3 linked regions of the Lepisosteus oculatus genome follow. Each later gene encodes a partner of the first gene's protein in a complex. Links are inferred from orthologs where the notes say so. Each region holds a gene or a part of one and is shown on either strand. Other genes may lie near its edges.

Evidence for each region.
Region 2: the proteins of scap (region 1) and insig2 are in contact, whole or in part, in a cryo-EM structure (PDB 7ETW), measured with the Homo sapiens proteins. The link is inferred for Lepisosteus oculatus from reciprocal best matches to the Homo sapiens genes SCAP and INSIG2. Residues at the interface, in NP_036367.2 of Homo sapiens: Pro200, Ser206, Val282, Ala283, Glu284, Ile286, Pro287, Thr290, Ile294, Ala297, Tyr298, Phe301, Lys305, Tyr351, Val354, Val355, Glu359, Thr409, Leu410, Val411, Ser638, Tyr639; in NP_001308258.1 of Homo sapiens: Phe41, Val45, Leu48, Leu49, Ile51, Val55, Leu57, Phe58, Pro59, Val62, Ser65, Ile66, Glu104, Trp105, Ser106, Met109, Arg110, Val112, Ala113, Val114, Val116, Gly117, His120, Gln132.
Region 3: scap (region 1) and rnf139 share a complex: the UniProt entries of both Homo sapiens proteins name them as parts of the SCAP-SREBP complex. The link is inferred for Lepisosteus oculatus from reciprocal best matches to the Homo sapiens genes SCAP and RNF139.

The regions. Positions count from the first base shown.
Region 1 is NC_090705.1:19,916,314-19,923,880, forward strand, and holds the start of scap (sterol regulatory element-binding protein cleavage-activating protein), read right to left. Parts: upstream 3,048-7,567; 5' UTR 2,971-3,047; coding exon 2,885-2,970; intron 2,038-2,884; coding exon 1,843-2,037; intron 1-1,842. UniProt on the Homo sapiens protein: Escort protein required for cholesterol as well as lipid homeostasis.
Region 2 is NC_090707.1:6,226,464-6,234,419, reverse strand, and holds the start of insig2 (insulin-induced gene 2 protein), read right to left. Parts: upstream 3,059-7,956; 5' UTR 2,984-3,058; exon of another isoform or gene 2,975-2,983; intron 2,969-2,974; exon of another isoform or gene 2,845-2,968; intron 2,801-2,844; exon of another isoform or gene 2,041-2,800; intron 1,012-2,040; 5' UTR 912-1,011; coding exon 659-911; intron 1-658. UniProt on the Homo sapiens protein: Oxysterol-binding protein that mediates feedback control of cholesterol synthesis by controlling both endoplasmic reticulum to Golgi transport of SCAP and degradation of HMGCR.
Region 3 is NC_090705.1:12,502,028-12,509,272, reverse strand, and holds the start of rnf139 (E3 ubiquitin-protein ligase RNF139), read right to left. Parts: upstream 3,104-7,245; 5' UTR 2,944-3,103; coding exon 2,781-2,943; intron 1,465-2,780; coding exon 1-1,464. Other genes in the region: deoxyribonuclease TATDN1, read right to left, coding at 6,041-6,143, 7,041-7,167. UniProt on the Homo sapiens protein: E3-ubiquitin ligase; acts as a negative regulator of cell proliferation through mechanisms involving G2/M arrest and cell death.

The sequences.
Region 1 (7,567 bases):
AGATGGATGTTGGGCCCAGATGAACAACGGTCCTTGCGACAGTGATGAAGAAATGCAGGAAAGCCTAATAATTTCAGTAACTAATATGTCCTTTCAGTGTCAACTCAAAAAAACACACAGTGCCTTGCGAAAGTATTCACCTCCTTCCGATGATGTTCCATTCGGATCAATTCCAAATGATGTACTGTACACACATTTTTTCCCCCATGTGAATATTGTTCACTTGGCACTTTTGAAGGCTTGTATGAGTGAAAGAAAAAAAGAAACTCTAGTGTCGGAAAGCTAACCCTATCCTACTGTAGCTAGCTGATCATCTAAAAGCTCTATAGATTCATCTTCTGTAATGATGTTTCTACATTAGGCAGGTTTTTAATGATTTGAAAAAAGATGTTCTAATGGAGTTCTCAGTTAGCATGCTGTTGAGGCAGAGCTAGGGCTAGAGAAAGCCCTTAAAGTCTGTCTTCATCATTATTATCCTTATCATTGTGTTTGCAGTTTAAAGACAGATGAACAAGTACATTTGATTTTCTTCAATCTTTTGATTTGACATTACTTTAGACTGTAGTTACTGGTAGAACTAATACTTATATATATATATTAATCGCCTATATCTGGGAAATAAAAAGATAAATATGTTGTATAATAATACACCACCTTTGCTAAGGCCAACCTAAATTAGATCAGGTATATAAAATTACTGTGACATGTCACACAATTATCTGAGTGTCCCCCTATCTGTGTGTGGTAAGACTGCAATTATATGATGTCATATATGTACCCGTCTTTGTAAGGCCGTTCAGTCAGGTAGTGATTTTCAAGCAAACATTTAACCATGAAGACCAAGCAGGTTTCAAAACAACTCAGGGAAACAGTTGTAGAAAGGCATAGATCAGAAGAAGGGTATAAAAATATTTCAAAGACACTGTACAGCCTTTCAGCATGGTGAAGTCAATCATATAACAATTGGAATCTGTAGTGTACCACCCAGACACTGCCTACATCAGACTGTGCCTCCAAATTAAGCAGCCGGGAAAGAAGTTAACAAAAAACTGTTGAGGTTGGATGATTTTGTTGTAATCTGTAGTAGCACAAAAAATAATGTGCGTATATAATTTGTAATTCATCAAAACAGGACATCATTGGAAGCAGAAAATGCTTTTGAAAGGCAGTGTATACTCAAAGATCTGCTGTTGAAAGCTGTGTAATTAAACTGCATTGAGGATGTGCTTAAATCTACTGGGAGTTTGGCTGGCTGGAAAAAGACGATGCCTGGCTCTCTCAGTGTGAGGCTGCAGACAGGGTTTGGAAATGTTGTCTTCAGCCCCACTTGACTAAAGATAGCAGCAAAGCCCTGAATAGCACCACTAATTCTGTTGCTGCAACATCACCAATGACTGGCAAACTAACAACTGAATCACATCCAGTCTTATGGCCCCTCACACTCTCTGTAGGGAAATACAGATATTATTAGGGTATTACTGTTCATCTTAAAAGCAGCAGCAATAATAAATGTTGATGTTTCAATATATATATAAGATATATGCTTTTTAAGAACATAAGTACAGTTATAAACAAGAGGAAGACATTAGGCCCATCTAGCCCAATTGGTAGTTAGTACTTAATTGATCCAAGGATCTCATTCAGCGTATCGGCATCAACCACATGGTTGGGTGACTTGTCCCATACTCCCACAATAATTTCTTGATATAAGTGGAAAGAAAGGATAGCTAGCATTGACAGACATACTTTCCCTCTTTCAATGAAATACATTGATCTTCCTCCTTTCTCTTACATCCTTCCCTCTGTGTCTTTTTCGGGGTCTGGCTGCCCCGCGATACTCACCAGCAGGCCAGGATGGAGACCGCGGTGAAGAGGATGATGGGTACTGGGTACGATGCACAAAGCAACCCATGCCGGTAGAATGCAGCGGAGATGCGCTTCTGTAGCCGCTCACTCACAGTCATCCTGGGGGTCAGCTGAGAGCCATTGGGGGGCGCCGTGGGGCAGAGAGCAGGGGTCCGGGGGGCATTCAGGGACCTGGGAACAAACAAAAACAGGGTTAGTGAAGCAGAGCAGTGGGCGAAGATGTCCTTACTGTACTGTACACATTACCCTCCCCGACACGGGCACTGTGCTCCAGGTATGCTAACCCCAGCACAGTGCACAAGTACAACCCCAGGCCAAGTACACACATCGCCTGGACCTTAACTCATGATTCGGCACATGTTACAACTGCACCAGTGCTACTCAATTTAAGTCCTCAAGAGCCAACTGAGCCTTACAATTTTCACTCCATCTGAGCTCTCAGCTAATTGAGCAAACTGTTCTTTCAAATCACCCAACTACACCATAGTTCCAGGTGTATGGTGCTTGATCATTTTATAGAAACCTATGAAATCCTTCTGGGTTGGCCTTTTGGCAACTAAGGAGAGCTGTCTTATTTCTAGTCCGTGTCCCCCTTGCTACTTCCCAGTATAGGCCAGTAGGAGCATTCAGCACCTGTGGACAGGCCTGAGAATGACAGCAAAGCTGTGATTCAGAGACTAACATTAGACGTCTCTATCTTGCATGCAATGCACACATGCATTCAAAGCCACAGCTCTGAGAAGCATGGCATCCCGGGAATGCCCACACTGCTCTCCCAAGAAAGATCCCAAATAATATTATCTTCGTTTTGATCGCAGGCATTACGACTCAGGTCAGGATCAAATTGTCTAGCTGCCTTTTTCAAGAGCTGCTTCCTTTTCCACTGCTCCCAGGTGCCGGGGGTGACAGCGAAGCCCCCAGTGTTCCTCCCTGTCTATCTGTTTTGAAGACCTCGACATCTGCAGAAAACGCATCATTAGGGCACCTCAGGGAAAGGCTTATAGCAGCTTCTACTTACTTGTTTTTTATAGCAGCTTTTATCCTGCCTTTTAAATTCCTCCAACTATTAGGTTTTTCGGTCCAAAGCCGCAGACAGTGCTCCATTGTTGAAGCCGCGAGCCCCGCTGTACAATGACCCTCCCTGCTCTCCGCTCCGCACAGCCCTGCAACCCGGCTCACATTCCTGATGGGATTTCACAACACAGTGCTCACGGCATGAACAAAGCTAATACTGTACACTCCACTTACCAGCGCAAAGCAGCACAAATGCCGGGCAGCTAAAGGAGGCGTCTCAGCACAGCTGACGGCACTACAAACACTTCTTTTACGCAGCGCCCCACAACCCAGGTCTGTGACAGCCACAAGCTTTGCCGCTGGCACCTCTGGAGACAGATGTGGCAAGAGGTTTGGTGGAAAAAGGACAAATGTGAACACCCACTGCAATCTGCAGAAGAGAGTTCAGACCAGAGCTCAGAGTCAGTGCCCTGCTGCCCTCCAGTTTCTCTCTTGCACTGCCCCACTGGGGAGAGGACACTGCTGCCCTCATACCGGGGCGGACCCCCTCCAGCCAGTCCGATCCCTCTGCCCGGCCCCGACCAAAGAACCGAGAACCGGAGAAGCCTCTTCCTTCTCATTTCAACTAAGAGGACTGTATCCCTCCATCCCAGCAGGAGAGCCGGAGCCTATCCTTACCAGCAACGGGGTACAAGACAGGATACACCCTGGACATGATGCCAGCCCATCGCATAGCACACACAGACACAAACACACTCACACCAGGGCCAAATTTCCTGGAAGCCAATTAAACCAACCAGTGTGTTTTTGGACTGTGGGAGAAAACCCACACGGATGTGTGGAGGATGTCTAAACTCCAAGCTGATAGCTCCCCAGGTCTGGAATGGAACACAGGGCCCCAACACTGCAAGGCTGCAATGCTGACCACTGTGCCGCCCCAAAACTGTATCAGTAATATCAGAATTCATTGTGAAAATGCTGCCCTGGCCATCAGTGTCAAGTGTATCCATAAAAATCCAACAATTCGCCTAATTTTGAAGTATTCTAATGATTGGCATGACGCTATCAAACCCTTTTTATCAGAATTTCCCATTTTAATTACAAGCGGCTAATGCCTATATTTTTAACTGCTCCTGACAACAATTTGAGAACTGGTATATCACAACAAGTGTGATCTGGAGTGTCGGGTTCTCACAGGCATGTCTGCAGTCCTTCACAAGTAATAACATAAAACGTAACTGTGAAAAATGGAGACTCATGTGAAAAAGACTTTGAGCCTGTCTCAACAACAACATACCCATCACCCGAAAAATGAGGTGAAATGATTTTTTTTGTAGTACAATATATCGTGATTCAAAATATGACATGTATTTTTTAATTATCTGACAACAACAGTCACACGACTCATTCAGCATGGCAGAACCAGAACAGGTGTTACTCTTACTTCAAGTATGGGAACAGTTTTTAGTGTGGCTTTAATGAAGCTGCATACTATTACAGAGCAGATGCAGAGGGAGGTCCTGCAGATGGCCATCCAATGCACAAATTGCAACATGATGTGGCTTTTATGCATTTATCACCCATTGGAATTCAGATGTCAGAGAGTCCCAATTTAACAAAACAATGTTACATTAAGAACAGTATAATACAGTATATAAGGTTAACATTCTCATTTTTTAACAATTAAAAAAAATTAAATACAGTGTGGTGTGTGCAAATATGGTATACAAATGTATGGCTTACAAAATTCAGGTACGGAACGAAGAGTCACAACTTTAAAGTTTCCAACCTTTGGGGCTCTCTGTCTCCAGGACAAGGTCTGTAACTATACTGTTTCTTTATGTATCCATATTGGAAGAGTGTCATCCAATGACACAGGGGATGTGACAGCTAACTTTAGGCTTTTCCACCCTTATTAATTTAACAAGGCTTCATTTTCAAAGCACTTCAATAGCAGATATATTATTGAACAACCCATAAATAAGAGGCAAATGCATGCAAAGCTCTACTGCACTGTTAATAACTGCACACACTGCGTTTACCTTTAACCTGCACCAAGATCACTGACCTCTCACCCCTGTTACAGTCTCACACATTTACAGGTCAGAACTACTGCAGGCTCCTGATGTCCCCGTATTTGAAATATTTTTAAATCAACAGAATCATTAATTAACACTCTTAGGGCAGCCACAGCTTAGTAAAAGCTCACACAGAGTGCAATCTCTCAGAAAGGGGAACTGTAATCCCCAGCTGAGGTGCAAATTGGTGCGTCTCTAACGTACTGTATGCTTGCTGTCAGGTGTGTGTATGAAAGCAGTAAGCCCGGACTATTTAGATCCATCCAAGACATGCAGTATAGTACTTCTAGGACAAAGGAAAAGAAAGAGAAATAACACAAGTGGAAAAAGACCAGAAAAGGCAGCAATACAGTGTATTTCATACACTGAAAATGTATTAAAGATAGCAGTAAGTGGTGATTAGCCCATGTGTCAAATACTCTAGTGCACACTAACACTCCCATACCCACAGTTTGGCCACACGGGTATGTACACGGACTGCTGAGGCCTAGCAGTGCTCTGCACACATTCTCTAAAAGCCTGCTGGGGACGAGAACATTTGGAAACACTGTGATGCAATATTTTTAGACAGTCTCTCCGGAGAAAGTGGCAAACTGCAAGGAGCAAATATATCCCGCTGCCAAGGACTTTGGAGTCAGCGTTTGCGAAATCCCACTAGAACAGGACCTGTTCACACAGACCAAACTCCCCGGGGGCTGGGGCGGGCACAGGCAGCAGCTCGGCTCTATTTCATTGCAGCATTGTGCTCCTACCGACTCTTAATTATTTATGTTGATCCTCAACGGCAGGAGCAACTAATTCATTTTTAACTTTCAACTGGCTCCAGGTCTTCCAGAGAGACAGGTGTGGAGAACTTGCGGTGCTGCTGCTACTGCATGGACAACGTGAGCTCTGCAGAGCCTGAACTCTACAGCTCAGCTCCTGAGGGCTATCCTTTTAACTGTCCTACAGTAAATCACAAATTAACTCCCCTGTGAGATAAGGAGGCATGCAGAGCTGTGCATGTGACTGCAGTGGGGCTCCACCATTACACACAGGTCCCAGATGGGCTACAGAGATCAGCGATACACAGCAATGATACAGTTTCCAAAGCACAGAGTGCAGTCTCCAGATGAGCACTTCAGCTACAGATCACATCCTCAGGACAGCTACCGTTCTGAAAGTATTCACCCCCCTTACAGCAGTTTCCAGCAGGTTGCCACGGGGGAACAGGTCAATATTCCAACAACCATGTGAGAGACCGATGCTCAACTACGGGACGTATTTGGGTGCAGTTCCTGCAGCTAAACGTGGAGCAACCAGTTACTGAATCTCAGGGGAGAATCAGTTAACCTTTTCCACTCAGGGACATTTGGACGTTGGATGACTGTTTTTTAAATAAATGAAACAAGCACTAAACTCCTGAGTTATTTGTTTACTCAAGGTGCCTTTATGTATCACTTAGACCCATGTGGAGCTCTGATAACATTCGGCAGCAAAAATATGCATAAATTCAGAATATCTTAAAGTGAATACGTTTATACGAAACCATATAGGGAAGCATTAAAAAAAAACAAGCAATGACTGATATCTCTTCAAACAGCACACCAGATCCTCGTCATCTCATAAGATTACATAGATAAAATCCACAACACTGTTTTTCCATTTGGACTTCCTTTATATTGGGTTGATATGAACCGTTTGATCACAGAATTCAGCCAATTCTTAAGGCACCACAAGCTGTTTCCTGAAAGGGAAGTTGGACACAGCTCCCCACAAATCCGTGTGTAAATGCATGTCCTATTTTTAGGCGAGTCTGTTCTTAACTTAATTCTTTCCAGGCACTGTAAACTAAAATCTAGTTTCATTAAGCCCTCACTCTACTTGACCAAGAAATCTCCCAGCCTTACCCACATGGCAATAACAGTGCACAAGTGGCTTCTTCCACACCAGGTTAACACTTCCGGCAGCACCTACTGTAGTACACCAGCTGCAGACACATAGTGCTTTACACTCGTCAAAACTGTGCATCACTCGCCAAGCGTTTTCACAGTCCTGAACAGTGATAGTGTCTTTTTACAATAATCCATCCACCCCGCTATCCATTTACTAACTGCTTACTCCCATACAGGCTATGGTTACCTCACAGTCCTATCCAGGCAAGCAACACACACAAACGTGGCTAACACCCTGCAGGGGACACAAGGCCTGCAGTGTACAGAAACTGACACAGACACGCACACACTCACACCAGAGCCAGCTTTCCCAGAAGCCATTTAACCTACCAGTATGTTTTTGTAATGCGGGAGGAAACCCAAGCAAAAACAGGGAGAACATACAAACTACATGCAGATAGCACTTCGGGTGTGTTATTGAACCCTGGGCCCCAGCGCTGCAAGGCAGCAATGAAAACCACCTTGCCACAGTGATAACTGTACTTTTACAATAAGCAGATCAACAAAATTACTTTCTCTTATAGCTCTATCATTTAATATTTGCTTGGGGCTTTCCCAAGTTCAGAAGAACTATGATCTCTTCTTTGCAGGCTTATCTCATAGTGTTAAGAATCGTATATTTTACAATCGTAACTTTGTGATGAGCTCTGAGTTGCGGAATGAGGGTTTGACCTA
Region 2 (7,956 bases), on another chromosome or scaffold:
AATATTGGGAAAATTCCAGTTTTGTTCTTATTGTATCAATATGCAATGACAAAATGCTGAACCAAATTCACAGGACAACAGATTCTGTGCTACCATCACGGAGACCAGGCCTGTGGGTCTGCTCCATCAACTACATAAACGTGTGCTACTTTCTTGGGCAGGATTAAGGAATAAGGAATTACAAACGATTAAGGAACAAGTAAAGGTTAATCTCATGCCGAAAGTAGAAAGAACACAACAATTAGGCTGTCAATCTTTCTTCACCTCACACCTGAAGAAGGTTTAACCACCCAACAGTTTTTTTCCCAGTGTAGAACGAGCCTTTGCTTTTCTCTTCGCAGCCCTTTGCAAAGGACTAATCTGACTTGGCCAGTGCTCTGCATGGAGCATCCAGAACAAGCAGAGCTTCCATTTAACTTTGTCTCCAATTACGTGCAGGTAAATATTAGCTACCCTCTTCTGACTTCCAAACGTTCATTATCAGGAGGGCACCTAATTAAATTAAGGTTCCGCTTTGTTTACTGTTCTGGTTCCGTAACTGTTTGGGGAAAAAAATCCTGTCTATAGTCAAGGTGTCAACCCGACAAAAATCATACAGACTCAGAAGAACTGGATTTATGACTGATATTGGAATCCCCATCGCTTCCTAAAGGCTCACCTGAAGCCGTTCCACAGCAGGGAGGGACCCACCATGCAGAGGAGAAGATGCTGGCAATCATGTCCGGAGGGAAAAGCGTGACATTTCTCTGAACCTGCAGCAGGTTCAGCACCAGAGCAAGGAAGACCCCAATGGAAAACAGGACTACTGCCCGGATGACCAAGTTCGTGGCGCGGTTGGTCACGACGGAGATGTACGGCCCGCGGACCGTCGGCGCGGACGGCCGTCGCGTCACCTTGGGTGCTTCAGCCATTTCTGCCAAACACGGCCCCGCGAGCTGCTCTCAGAACACTAAGGCGTCTCCCCGCCGACAGCCACCTGCGCACTGGACACGGTCAGGCATCACTGCAAGCCTGGCATCAACGAGAAAACAACAACAACACTGACACTCACCTTGGTGCACGCGTCAAGAAAGGTAACGGACAAAACCGTCTTGTCAGAGGTGATCAGAGGCATTTGTTCCTATTTTGTTTTTAAACAAGGGTGCTCAGTCCCACAGCCATGAGGTCTTCACCAGAGGAATCAGACAGAATTCAAAATATTTCATTCCTCTAAGGCCAAAATGGGAGAAAACAGCAGATTTATGTCAGTCGCCACTTAAATCCCATTATCAGGTTCTCTTTTAACGCATGTAGACAATTTTGCACATCAAACTGCATAACAGTTGTTTAAATTCTCAAAGCACTGCTTAGTCTGTAGTCTACATGGTATACGTATCCAGTTTTACAACTACAGGAAAGCTGAAGATATACAACCAAGAGATAATAAAGAGAGGGGAACATTAGATTCAGCTGGTTAAACTCTATACCAAATCTAATTGTACGCTGTCTGGACAGGTGAAGAATTACAACTCAAATATGTCATGTTTTTTTTTTTCTTCAAAAAAGGCAGAGTATTACTGAATGCCAGACGCCTGAAAATAATGCCTCTGAAAAATCGTAAATTACATACTCAATAAAACATTGCTTCACCCAAAATAAATGGATTAATAGTGAGAATGGCTTCCAAAATAGAGATTACAACTCCAAATAGCCCTTTAACCATTTAAATGCAACTGACTGTAAAATAAATATGAAGCAACACCTGCTTCATGCTAGTGTTTTAGTTTCGGTGTCTGCGTAACAAGTATTATCGAGTGAAGCCTTCAAGAAACTCTTCCATTAAATGGCCTTCTTTGGGTGTTTCCTTCATGTTCAGTGTTGCCCTCAAACGGTTTTACAACACTGGTCAGTTTTGAAAGCCATGGGAGAGTGTCTCCAGTTCTGCACGATGGTCATGGACCATATACCTGTTAGGGTGTGAACGCAGAGAGGCGAGTAAGGAAGACAACAGTCTAGATGAACCCCAGCGTGCAATAATAGTACAGTTACAAGCGAACTGACCTCACATCTGCAACATGTTCGACATGGTTACTGCTTCTTCGGGTTTGGTACGTTTTGTAGCAAACCTGTGTTCAATCACAGCCACCGCAATGGTCTTGTAAGCAAGAGTACCCCACTTGAATAATGCCATTTCCTCCCCAAAAACCATTTGGCCACAGCTCCCTTTGAAAACCGGATTTACAGTCAAGCTTGTCTAGTCTTCCACTTCGATAGAATACCTAGGAAGACGTTGTTTTGGTACTTTTTGTGTGTGAATACACTTCGCAAGACCCCACTTACTCCAGTGTCAGTGAGTTGATTTGTGTTGTTTTAAAAGAAGAGTATGAATCCAGTGATTCTGAGCGAGTGAAAACACAGAAATCATGGGTCTGAACGGACTGGACTGCGCTTCTCCACAAGACGCGAGAAACGAGCATGGCAAAACCCGAGTTAAGTCAGTAAAGGAGGAGTCGTGCATGAGTCTCGCCAGTCTGTCCTGGATCGGAAGAAAGGGATCAATTTTAAGGCACGTAAACACTTTAAAACATGGCCCGTTACAGCTGTTAACTCTTCCGTCTGGTAACACAAATCCAGACAGGCCAATCACACCGGGCAGGCCTATGAAGGACAGGGGACAAACTTACTCGTCAAAACGATTGATATTTCAAATAAACGTTAACAGCTCTTGCATTTTCCCCATTCCTATAAAACGCAGTTTAAAGCAAACACCACTTATTAAAAATGAAACTGCTGACAGGGGGTACCGAGATCGAAACAGACAGTAACCTTACACAGCAAAGCGGTTTTCTCTTTCGGAGTTCTTACCTCATCTCTCACACACAAAACATTTATCCCTCTCATGCGAACTAACGCGCACCTAAAGACGCGAACGATCCTTCGGTTCGGAAACTTTCGTTAGCGGAAAGATTAAACCTAGGCTGAAAATAAAGTTTACCGTGTTTACCTCGGAGGACCACATCACTTCCCCGTCACTCTGCGATGTGCACGGCGCTCAACCTCCAATCAGGGTCGAGCGGCGTGACGTCATTTCCTAGCAAGAGCCCGCAGGCGCAGTGCAGTCGCATGTATGAACCAGGGAGTCAAAGCAGCCCTGAGGGATGTGGTGGAAGTTGTTGACTTTATTATTATTATTATTATCATCATCATTATTGTTATTAATTATTATTTAACGATGGAAAAACCTGGTACAGAGCATCGTAGCTGTAAGAGACAACAGCTGTTTGTGGCCACTGACATTCCATGATGTTGCAAAGAATGATGGTTAATTGGTTTGTAGTTCAAGACGGGGTGCCAGTTTGAAGTACCTGAGAAATATGCCAGAAACAGATTTATATATGTCGTAGTAAAATGAGGTGGACAGTTAAGTTACCATGACTAAAACCTATAGCTGGGATAACAGTTGGGCACTGTCTTTGGTTCACAAAACCAGCCTGCTCTCTTTCCCTTCTCCAGCGAATAACTGTGTTTTGCTCTGCCTATCATCATCTTCTTTCTGGGAAATTCATGATTTGGTTTCCACCTGCCCTGTGATTTCCATGCCTCTCCAGTTGGCCTTGTCGTCAGCGTACATCTTGTTAGCGTGGAAACAGGGGATTTAAGCGCATCAGTCCAGCCCAGGAGTGCCAAAGCTGGTCTTGGCGAGGCAGGGTTTTAAACAGGAACAGGCATGATATCGCTAATTCCCCCCTTTTTAAAATGTACTGTTACTTATCCACTTCACGAAATACTTATTTAGTGAACTGCGGATTCCCAGCGGGCCTGTTGCTGGTATTTCATCCTTATCAGGTTACTGGTTAGAACACAACAGCACACAGGTGCACTATACGTTACACAGCTGAGCCATTCTCTTCATTACTTTCCATATTTAATTTTTTAATCTGATAATGCCCTGCATATGGATTTTGTGATACTATAGATTATTTGGCTTTTGGCCATGGCAGTGACAAAAAAAGCATTCAGTAATTCTGTGAGCTTTAACTCTGCATCGCCCTGGAAAGATGATATATTGTACTTTCATTTAAAAATCAATTGAAATTGAAATATTGAAAGGCGATTTAGCTAATTCGATTTTTTTTAGTTTACAGTTTATTAATGCGAACAATATTGCACGAGAACAACTTGCGATGTTTTGGAAACTGGGCATGGCTTTAGCAACATTGACACAAATTTCACGAGGAGATGAAGCCGGGAAATCCACAATAATATATATTATGTAAAAATTAATGTGAATTATGAGGGTGTAATATGGATTGTAATGAAGTTCTTGACTGGCGTGTTTATGCTTCATATTCCAACTCCTATTTTATTTTCAGGGTATTCTTATTAACTAAAATGTAGTATATACTGTACGTTGATAATAGATTTATCATATTTAAGATCAACATAGTTATATATTATGTAATTATAATAATTCTACAAATTGATCATATATTTTTTTATTTGGTATTCATGGGATGCACATTTAGAGCGGAGAAGAGTGTGTCAGAAAAGATCATTTCAACAAAAGGTGCCAAACAGTGTTCAAAATGGACGTTGGTACATTGCATTTGTTTCCCAGAAATAATGGGTTAATGAAAAGTGTTTAAAAAAAAATCTGACGATAAGCTTTGTGTTGTAATACTATGTCAACAATGTAATGTAAGCCCCTTTGTAATTAATACATATAAAATTCCAAAATGCAAGTCTTTACACATCTTCATTGTTTATCCGCAGTGATAATTTAGCCTTTTCCCCTAAGCTACTTACAGCTACCACCATCATTCCAAATGACAAGTGACTGTTGTGCTGTTGATTCTAATTAGTAACCAATTAGCTCATTATTGCTCTGGTTAATTGCATTTTGCTATTAGGTTACTTCGGTAATAAGGACTTTATAATTAAAAGCATGCACTGAATAACATTGATTAAACAAGAGCCTCTAAATGAAGTACGTATAAACACATATACAAAGCCTTGACTTAAATAAATAGACATCCTCCCAGATTAAAATCAGCCATTGAATTCCCTTAAACACATTGTTACCTAATAGGATACTGGCAGAAGCCAATTGAAAATCTTCATACTGTAGCACTGCACATTCAGCTATTAACTTTAAACCTCAAATACCTCAAAGGCCGAAACTGGTGCTGTAGAAAGGAGTCTCAAGAGATTCTTTAAATGTTACCTCCACGGTGTGGTATAAAATGCAGGAGCTGCAAGACACTGAACACGTTCCACACACTGGGCATGCCATTTGGCAGTTCTCGGGCAGTTCTCACAGATGCATGTGGTCCCATCAAGCACTGGATTACTCATTGATCCATAGTGTAAAATTGCAGTTTGATTTTTTGGGACCCATTGAGAGCATGTGATCTATCTTTGACAGATTACTGTGAAAGCATTGCACTCCCAGAATTCTAATTCCATCATAAGATTAGTGTCTGTAGGTGTGTGTGTGCTTTTACTAGTTTCAAGATTATTGTGATTATTGATTGTGATTTTGAGGCAATTCTCTTTGTTCGAGGGGATAAGAGCATTGATATTGTAAATGAAGTTACAGTGCAAAACAGTTGTGAACAGAAGTAAAGTGATTCACTGTCAATCAATATTAGTTGCAGCTATCTAATAAAAGCAAATTGAACTGTTTCTTTATCTGCCGAGTTATTTCAGATTAAAGTATTTCATATTTTCGTTTACTGGAAGGAAGGAGCATGCCATGTTTCAGGATATCTGTGTAAGCTCAATGGATGGTACAGTGTAGCGAACAGCATAATCCGACAGAGTGTATTACAAATACTGCATAAAAGTATAATAAGTGTAAAAATAAACTGCAAACTAGAGAACTAGGATTTCCATAATCCACTTTGATTTCTTTAGTTCCATAACTTAAGCCTATTAGACCACATACTAGAGCAAATCAAATTTGTTAAGTGAACACTCATGAGTAACTTGAAAGGAATCATAAAGAAAAAAAAATCTGAAGCAATTACAGTTGCTCAAAATCTGTGTATTACATGGTATTAAAAGTACCCAAAGCACAGAACAGTAGAAAGGAATTTAATTACTATGCAAAGAGCGTCCTTTGGAAGAAGGCAAAGGAGGATTTGATTCATTTGTTTTCAAAGAAACAATCTGAGCAAGAGAAAAATATTTGTATTGGTATATATCGTGTACCCATCCACTGGGTAGCAGAAAGCTGCTTATTTTATAATGGTCACAGGACCAACAGATACTGGAGACATAAAGTGAGATAACAACAGGGCTGGGATGGCAGTCCAGTCTCAGGACACGCACACAAACCAGGCGCACCCATCGAAAAGCCATGCAAGCACAAGGGGAACATGCAAGCTCCACACAGACAGTTGTATGAAACCGAGACCCAGCATCTTAGAAGACAGCAGTGCTAACAGACTCACCACTGTGTTGATGTACTGTATGAATGCCCCTTTTCTAGCCTTGGATTGACAAAGACTCCTGATTATATTTACCTGCAGTATAATGAACTTAAAAAAGAAAACAAGACACCGAATTTACTTTATATCAGCTGAAACAAGTTAAAGGTAAAAGGGCGATAATAATGAAAAACGATATGCCACACCGGCACTGTGCAACACTCCAGAGTAAAATCAGAGTCTGAAAATGTGAAAAGTGAAGGTAATGAAGTGGCGACAGAGATGATGTAAAATATTTTACAGTCATCTGATGCTTGCTCCCATTCCGTTGCGATCTGTATAGACGAGTCCGAACCTACAGCCAGCACCATTTGCCCAATGTGCAGCATGTGTTATCTCTCTATAAAGAGGAACATTATCGCTTGTTAATTCATTTAGAGCATTCAATGGTCAGTTCTTATCAGTTAATGCACTTTATCACCTGCACTTCAGGCTAGTGTTTCAAAACCCTTGGAGATGATCAGCACTCTGAAGTGAGGGCAAATAACCTGCTATTAGGCGCTGGGAGCAGGGAAAGAGTTTCAACGATAAGTGAGAGTGGTCAAGCACCCGATTCATCATCCTGTTCACTCCAATGCGGAGAGGCCCTTTTTATCAGCACTATTTGCACCAATGTCATAACCTCTGGTATAAATCTTCTGTCAGGGCTCCTGTTCGAGTGAGCTCCCTCGCCCCATTACAATCCTAGCCCCCACATAATCACTCCTCGACCTTTGGATGTCTTTAATTAACCTTTGACCCCAAACATGTAAGCCCTGGTAGATTCAATTGCTGAAAGCCAATAAATGTGCATATTACACGATTCGCCTATCTGGCATTCAGTTCGTGTTTTTAAAATCAGACAGGATCTCAAATAACTGTTAAAAGCACCCCCTAATTTACTCATTCTTAGGTGTGTGCCTAAATTATGGTAATTTATAAATATCCCAAAGTACTTTCATTTAATGTCAGAATTTGTGTTGGATAGAGGGCATCAGACAGCTGATATTTATGCTTTCAGGGAGGCAAAACATTTTGTTGTTTTATGTATTTGTGGTTAAAGGGTATTTCAGTGCACATTTGCACTATAAGAGAGTAAAAGAACCTTCAGTGGCACGTTCTCTTCTGTCTAAACAAATCTGGGTAAAATGGTATTAGTAATTAGTCATTTTAATAATTGTATTTTCGCACATAGCTGGGAAGCTTGAAGAAGTAGGAAGTTTTCAGATCAGTGAAATATTTGTGATTTTTAAAAAATAAATACAAGACTATTTACTCCTTATGTGAGTTACAATATTTTCCTTCCTTTAATAAGATAGTATAGATACAAAACCTAGTATTTGATCCACATATGATTGAAAAATATTGAGACATCATGGACTGATTGGCTTTAAATCATTATCAGATGCCATCAGTATTCCTTTTTTCCCCCATATTATGCTTCCAAGATAGGTCTGTATCTTAAAGAGCATATTTTTCATTTCAATCTTTTCTACAAAGCGGCACA
Region 3 (7,245 bases), about 7.4 Mb from region 1:
CGTCCTCAATGTCTCTCAGCTGACCTCCTTTCACCTCCGGCAGCGAGTTGATTTTCTTCACTGCTGTCCGCCGATTAATGAAGGTCTTCCAGCCATTCTTGGCTTGTAGGTAAATGTTGAAGTAGGCATGGAGACACATCATGCACGCGCGGATCTTACTGCCAGATTCGAACATCATGGTGTAAGCTCCATTCCCAAACATGATCACCCCAAAAATGAACTCAATTACATTGCCAGTTGAGCGCACATAATACACATAGTCATCCAGCTTTTCCCATAAGACATTGTAGTAGCCATCAATCATGAAGAGTGTGTAGACAGTCAGGGACACAATGACCTTCAGACAGAGCTCTACACAAAATGCAGTCACAGCAAACAGCCAGGTATTTAGAATGTAGTGGTGCCAGAGGATGAAGCTCAGCACAATGGGCAGTACAAACAGACACAAGGAGACCAAGAGCACAGGGAAATGTCTGCGAAAAGACGAAACATGTGAGGCACTCAAAGACATCAGAACTGGATCAGTCATCCCATGAATGAAATGCAAGATGGCAGTCAAGAGAAGGCACATGTTTCGGCTGAGCCGGACCAGTCTCTCCTCAGGGTCTAGGCCACTAAGGCCAGTCTGAAGAGCTAAAATGAAAAACAACACAGGTGCTACGAAACCCAAGCGTTTATCTTCTTCTTCTGTGGAACCAATGAAAGCCAATATACCGAGCCCCAAGTAATGAGCAATGGAGGAGATAACTGCACTCATGCCCAGGACTGTCAAGGTTGAGTCACACCCACTGATGATAAGGTTGCACAAAACATCCCAGAAAGCATCCCAGGAGATCAAATAATTCCACTTTCCTTCTTCATTGTCCACCACTTTCACAACGTAAACCAGAATGATAGCTTGAGCTGTAAGTCTCGTGAGCCAGAAAACCCTGAGGACATCTGGGAAGCGGATCCTTTTCCAGGTGTCCTCCACCAGCAGCTGGAGTCCATAGATGCGATACATGTGCCTGATGAGCAGGTACACATAGCGACCTGAGTAATAGAACCACTTTATCTTCATAAGTAAGCAGACAACTGTGTTCACTACAAGAACCAAGCCTGAAATGATGGCCAGGAGCTGTCTCACATCCACTGGCAACTCCAAGATCAAGCCCCATATGGGGATCATAATGTCTAGGACAATTAGTGCAGCAAAGACTGACTGTACATTGAGGAGCATAACATGCCCAATTCCAAACATAAGCTGGACTGTGGCCATGCCCAGCCATAGTGTGGGTCCACTACGAGGAAGCAGCTTAAATCCTAATGCTGCTGTATAGTAAGCGCTGTAGAAGTCTATATGAGAGGTGGCGTAATAGTTCACCAGAAATGCGACGGCTCCCAAAAGTACTGCAAAGAAGATCATGTAGAACTTAAAGAGCGCTCTCTGGGACAAGACCAGGACAACACCTGATACCAAAACACCTGGAAAAGAAAGGAAAAAAATTAACTTGATTTATGATACAACATTATTAAAATTAACTTGATTTATGATGCAACATTATATCCTTATGAAAATCTGAATGAACTGAACTGAGAGCTACACATGTTCCGGCTGTGGCACTAGAAAAGGAAGCAGTACTTTGGAATGCAATATGTTACGTTGTAACACACATGATATTATGCCTGATGGCTGTTTTGCAGAGTGGAATTTTAGAACTTGACAGGTACAAATCGAGGTGGCACTCTTTAACACAGATTAACTACATTAGCCTGTATTCCCTGAACTGTCATCTGAATTGCTATGTTCTTGTGATAAGACAAGGGTATATACGAGACCATCCAGAATCAAAACTGACATTCAGATTTGATCTCATATTAATCTTTTGATCCAAAATACACGTTTTTAGTACACAGCAAAAATGATTAATTTCACTTTACTGTCCTGATAGTTATGATTTTCACTGTAGCCTATATGGTTTAGTTACAATTAACATTTAAGACTGTCGATCTAATTTCCTACTAAACAAATATTGTCTGCTAAAACTAGAACAATGAACTAATGCTTTTCTGAAAGCGTGATAAAACAACTCAAACCTAATGTTTACAAAGAATGTAAATCATCGTTTCAGCAGTATGAAACTTGCTCTTAAAGTTAAGATTTGCGATTACATATTTCAGGGCTTTAACCCATACAGATTTTGGAGAGAATGGGAAGAAAACCTGACTCCATAAATCAAGGAAATGTGGAAATAAACTGGCTAACAGAAATCCGTTTGAAGCATATTTCAAAAGTCAGCTGAAGGATAACATGAAGAAAATCGGACATCCGGTCCTAGAAACATATGCTACTGAAAACGCCGTCCATAAACTCATTTCTTAGGAAAATTAGACTTGCTCAAGACGACAGAGTTGAAGAGCTCCCTGTTTTATAAAATCTTATTGGCATTTAAAATCATCCGATCGCTGTTGCCCTTCCTAATGTTAACCCAAAACGAAGCGCGGGGATATAACAAATAAACGTAAACTATTCAACTCAAGACATTAGAAGCGCAGAAAGGCAGTGGTATTATCCAAAACAGCACACAGGGGAGTTTTTCACTCCTCTCGACTCTGTTGGCTACTCATGAACGGCGTGTCAATGACATCGGAACCGCAGGGAGTAAACCGAGAGGCCGGAGCTCCTGTTTGACAGGTGGCCTGGTCAGCTTGATCAGGTTTAACAACACGCAAGAGTGAATTAAAAGGATGACACACACCCTATCAGACGACATTTCATTAATACTTTAAATTCACCTTACCCAAAAAACGAATTAAAATCCGTACAGCAGTGATGGCCCATCCGGACCCAGGATCAAAATAAGAGTTAAAAATGGCGTCGATAATGAAAATACAGGGAACTCGAAAAGCCACATCCAGCACAGCTAGGGCCTGGTGGCCGATCCGGATATGAGGGGACGCCATGGGACGTTATACCAAGAGGACTCGGGCTCTCGGAGTCCAATGCTCTCTCGCCGCTTCTGATTAAACAAATTACTGAATTTTCTGAAGTTATTTTTCTGGATCCCTGCACACCGCCATCTTCACTGTCCTCCTGTTGCTATGCACGGAACGCGGAAGTAACTCCAATTTGGAACGTCATAGTGAATACGTAATTAAATGGAGCTCCTAAACATGACGCAATGGACTTGATGTCCAGTTGTTATGGCAACGGTCAGACAGTTCTGCTTTTTCTCTTAAGGTTCGTGCCGGATTGTTCTGCAGAAGCCAAGGAATGAATCCTCTGTAGCGTAGAAACCTCACTATCTCCTATTTTGGAAAAGTGCAAAGAGATAGACTACAACAATATCTTTTGTAATTTACGGAAGATAGCATATTAATAGCATATTAATAACAAGTTCCTACGTTTTCTCGCAGGAAGACCCATTTAAGAAGTCCATCTCAATAAAGAAGAGAGTGTACACATGTGTAACTAATACATTGAAAGTCGTCCATTAATATTGTGAGTAGGAGTTGCTTTTAAGTGTCATTATGCTTCTGTATCAAGGCAATCGAAGTATAGGATAATCAGTGAAACTGCAGCATGCCTACTACTAGTAGCATAAGCATTCCCTCAAAAGGCTCCCTATTTTGTTTCTCGTCTTCCTACCCTCAAACACAATGCTAAAGCGAAAGTGTAAATTCACAGCAGAACTAAAAAATAAATTTCCTTGTTTTCGAAGTGGCAGAGAAGACCGGGAAGCTGAATGTTTGGTGTGTAAGCCTGGTACGTTTGTCTCCGTGGCAAATCAAGTTGTACTTGACTTGCAAGCTCAAGTTGACTCAGACAAACGCAAAAAGGCAATTCGAGGAGAAAGTTCGTTAACCAAATTGTTGGCACGTCAAGGGGAAGAAAAGGTCTCCATAACTAAGAAGGTAAGCCAGAGAAAAATCTTAGTAATTATTTGATATTGTAGCGAGACGGGGTCTGTGAGAATGCAGACAGGAATTCAGGCTCTTTTTAGAATGGAAACTGCTCTTTATTGCCGGCACAGCAGCAAAGACAGCTGGAGACAGACAGTGTAACCAGGGTATAACACACTAGGGTCACCTAGGGTACTGAAACATAGGTATAGGGTAGTTAAGTGGGTACAGGTATAAAAGGCTGTAAACCGGAGATAATTATACATATGACAACCCAACAGCCCACAAAAATGTGCAACTGCACCAGATGTTCAACCCGCGCTGGCCAGTCGCCCTCAGTCCCCCCTCCCATCCTGCCCTTCGCCGTGCACCTCAGCTAGACGCTCTTCGGCCGCAACGCCAGGTGAGAGCGCCACATTGCCACCACCTAAAACATCAAGTGTCCCACCAACGATGAATAACCCAGCGAGGCCGCACACTAAATCCTCCAGCCCCCGTGGCGCCCGGTGAACTCGCTCGCTGCATTGGGGTGGAGTCTGGCGGTCTGCTCCCTTGGCCCCCCCAGGCCATAGGAATCTGGAACTGGCTGCTCCCTGGGATCCGCTGCGCCCTCCTATTAGAGCGTCCCCTCACGAGCCCTGAATGGAACCAGGCGGTCCCAGTGCAGGACCACAACCCTCCAGTGGTGCCAGGGAGCCACTCCTGCTCCTGGTTGCTGCTGCTCGTCCCCAGAAAGGGCTTGAGGGGGTCACTCGCCTGCTGGTAAAACTGGCACTTATCTGAGTCCGACAGGTGTTGGCACTAATCGCTGTCCATCCCTCCCACTGCTGACACAAATGTAGGGAGACAGGGTCGGTGAGGATGCAGACAGGAATTCATGCTCTTTTTAGAACGGAAACTGCTCTTTATTGCCGGCACAGCAGCAAAGACAGCTGGAGACAGACAGTGTAACCAGGGTATAACACACTAGGGTCATATAGGTACAGGGTAGTTAAGTGGGTACAGGTATAAAAGAGTACAGTATAAACCGGAGATAACTATTTATATGCAACCCAACAGCCCACAACAATGTGCAACTGCACCAGATGGTCAACCTGCACTGGCCAGTCGCCCTCAGTCCCCCCTTTGACTCCTCCTCCCATCCTGCCCTTCGCTGCGCACCTCGGCAAGGCGCTCTTCAACCGCAACGCCAGGCGAAGGCACCACAATATTATTATTTACAGGCACCGAACTTTTCTGTACTAATACCTGATATACAGGTAGATTTACCAATGAACATAAAACGTGGGATATTTTGAAAACCTTCTCCATCTCCACCCCTTTCCCAGATAAGGCAATAGGAAAGTTCCTCAGGATGTCTTCTATACCAGTTCAACCTCATGGTTCTCATCACCTGTGCGTAACCCAATGGATGTAACCCAGTTCCAATGGGTTTGAAATTTCACTTTCTGTGCCTTGTAATCACATTGACAGCCTTTTTCATATCGCACTGATAAGGGCACCAAGGAAACAAGTAGCTATTTGTGATTAGTTAATAATATTTAATTCATGTTGAAAATAAAATGTTAATTTGATAAATTTACAATTTATTTGATCTTTTTTTTTACAAAATCACAAGATGGCAGCAGTGAGGGGTGCCATTTCTTTCAGAGTAAAGCGGTTGGTGTGTAGCTCTTCAAGTACTATGACATATCGTTACTTTTCTATTACCATGGTGTAAAGCTTAGCAACACCAATATCACTAACCTATTAATACGTATTTAGATATCTTACAACCTCATCTAAAAGTCACATGACTTATATTAATTACAAATAAACTGGAAGTCAACATTAACATAACATGCATAATACCATACAAGTGACCATATCCCTACTAAAAACTATTAAACATAGTACATTAAAAATGATAAATCTGATAAATCCAAATTAGGTGTCATACAAACAACAAACTTAATGCCTTTTAAATTATTTTTTATTTTCTTTAAAAATATATATTTGTTTCCCAGAAGCAGCAATCAAGAATCATGTTCATCATGGTTCCTGTATGTGGATTCCAGGATTTTCAAGCTGCGAAACAAATCTGGAACAGTGTGGTAGTGAAGACAGAAGCCCATACCACGTTGTCTGGTGTGAGAGCAGCTCTAGTCGGTATAAGCCTTCAGCTTCCTTTGAAGAAGACCTTTATGGTATTGTTGAAAATAGTGTTTGCCAGCTCAAAAGGATCTTCTTCTCTTGCTGCAGCCATGATCTCTAGCACTTGACTGTAATGGGAGACATGAATGTTTTCATATTTTCAATTTTTAACTCATTAAAAAGCTCCTAAAAAATACCTCATTTGAAACTCAAGCACCAGTGTTTCACACACGCTACAGTCTTTTATTTGTAGGTGTGGGGGTTATATTATAGTTATGCACATGAGCTCATAGTACTGCGAAGTCTTTTAATTGAGGCACACAGCTCCAAGTATCACTTTGGTCTGAAAATTTCTAATAGGAAATTCTGAATGGAGTTCAAAGATCAAGTAATAGTTCAGAAAACCATATCATTTTACGTAACCATCTCTTGCTAAAAGGTGTACCTTTAATTTTTTTGGTTTTGTTATTTCCTCACTCCAGAGAGCTCCTGAATTCCTAAGACCACTCCACAGATTCTGAAGAGGCAAGTCTGCATTCACTACAGCATGGGTGGCTCCTCAAAAGTTCATGCCTAAGGACACTGGCAGCAGCCAGACAGACACCAACTGGTTCGAGAAAAGGCATGTCTGTGAGAGCTTCATCTGACAACTGTAACTGCAAGAAATGAGTTTTGAGGGCAAACTGTGCTTGGATTATGAAATTGTAGGCTTGTGAGGAGGTAGAAAAGTACAATTACTGGCCAGTTATTCAAACAACTGCAGCAACATATACAGCAACATGATGTAATCACATGATTGTTTCCTAGAGCTCAATACATGATCTTTAAAGCGAGGAAGTCACAGAAACTGAATGCCAAGGTAAGTCATTAGAAAAAAAACAACATTGTTATTCTCTAAGATGACATTTGTGGATGTAAATGTTGACACAGGTACTACAGAATCATGCTCGCAGGTTCTGATTAAAAGCCTGCACAATCTGTTGCATTTACTTATGTTTTAAAAATAATTTCCTTTGCTTACGTACATTATATGGCAGGGCTCATTTCTGTCCTTTACACAATGGCCTGCTTCCCATTTCTTCTTAGTAGGAAAGGTAGTTTTTATGTACTTGAAGCCTGCATGACTGTTCTTCACTCCACACCATGGAGCATCTATGTTACACAAGAAGACACAATCACAAGTAGTAACCATTACAGACACATGACTTTCAAGCCAACTGCACCACTTTT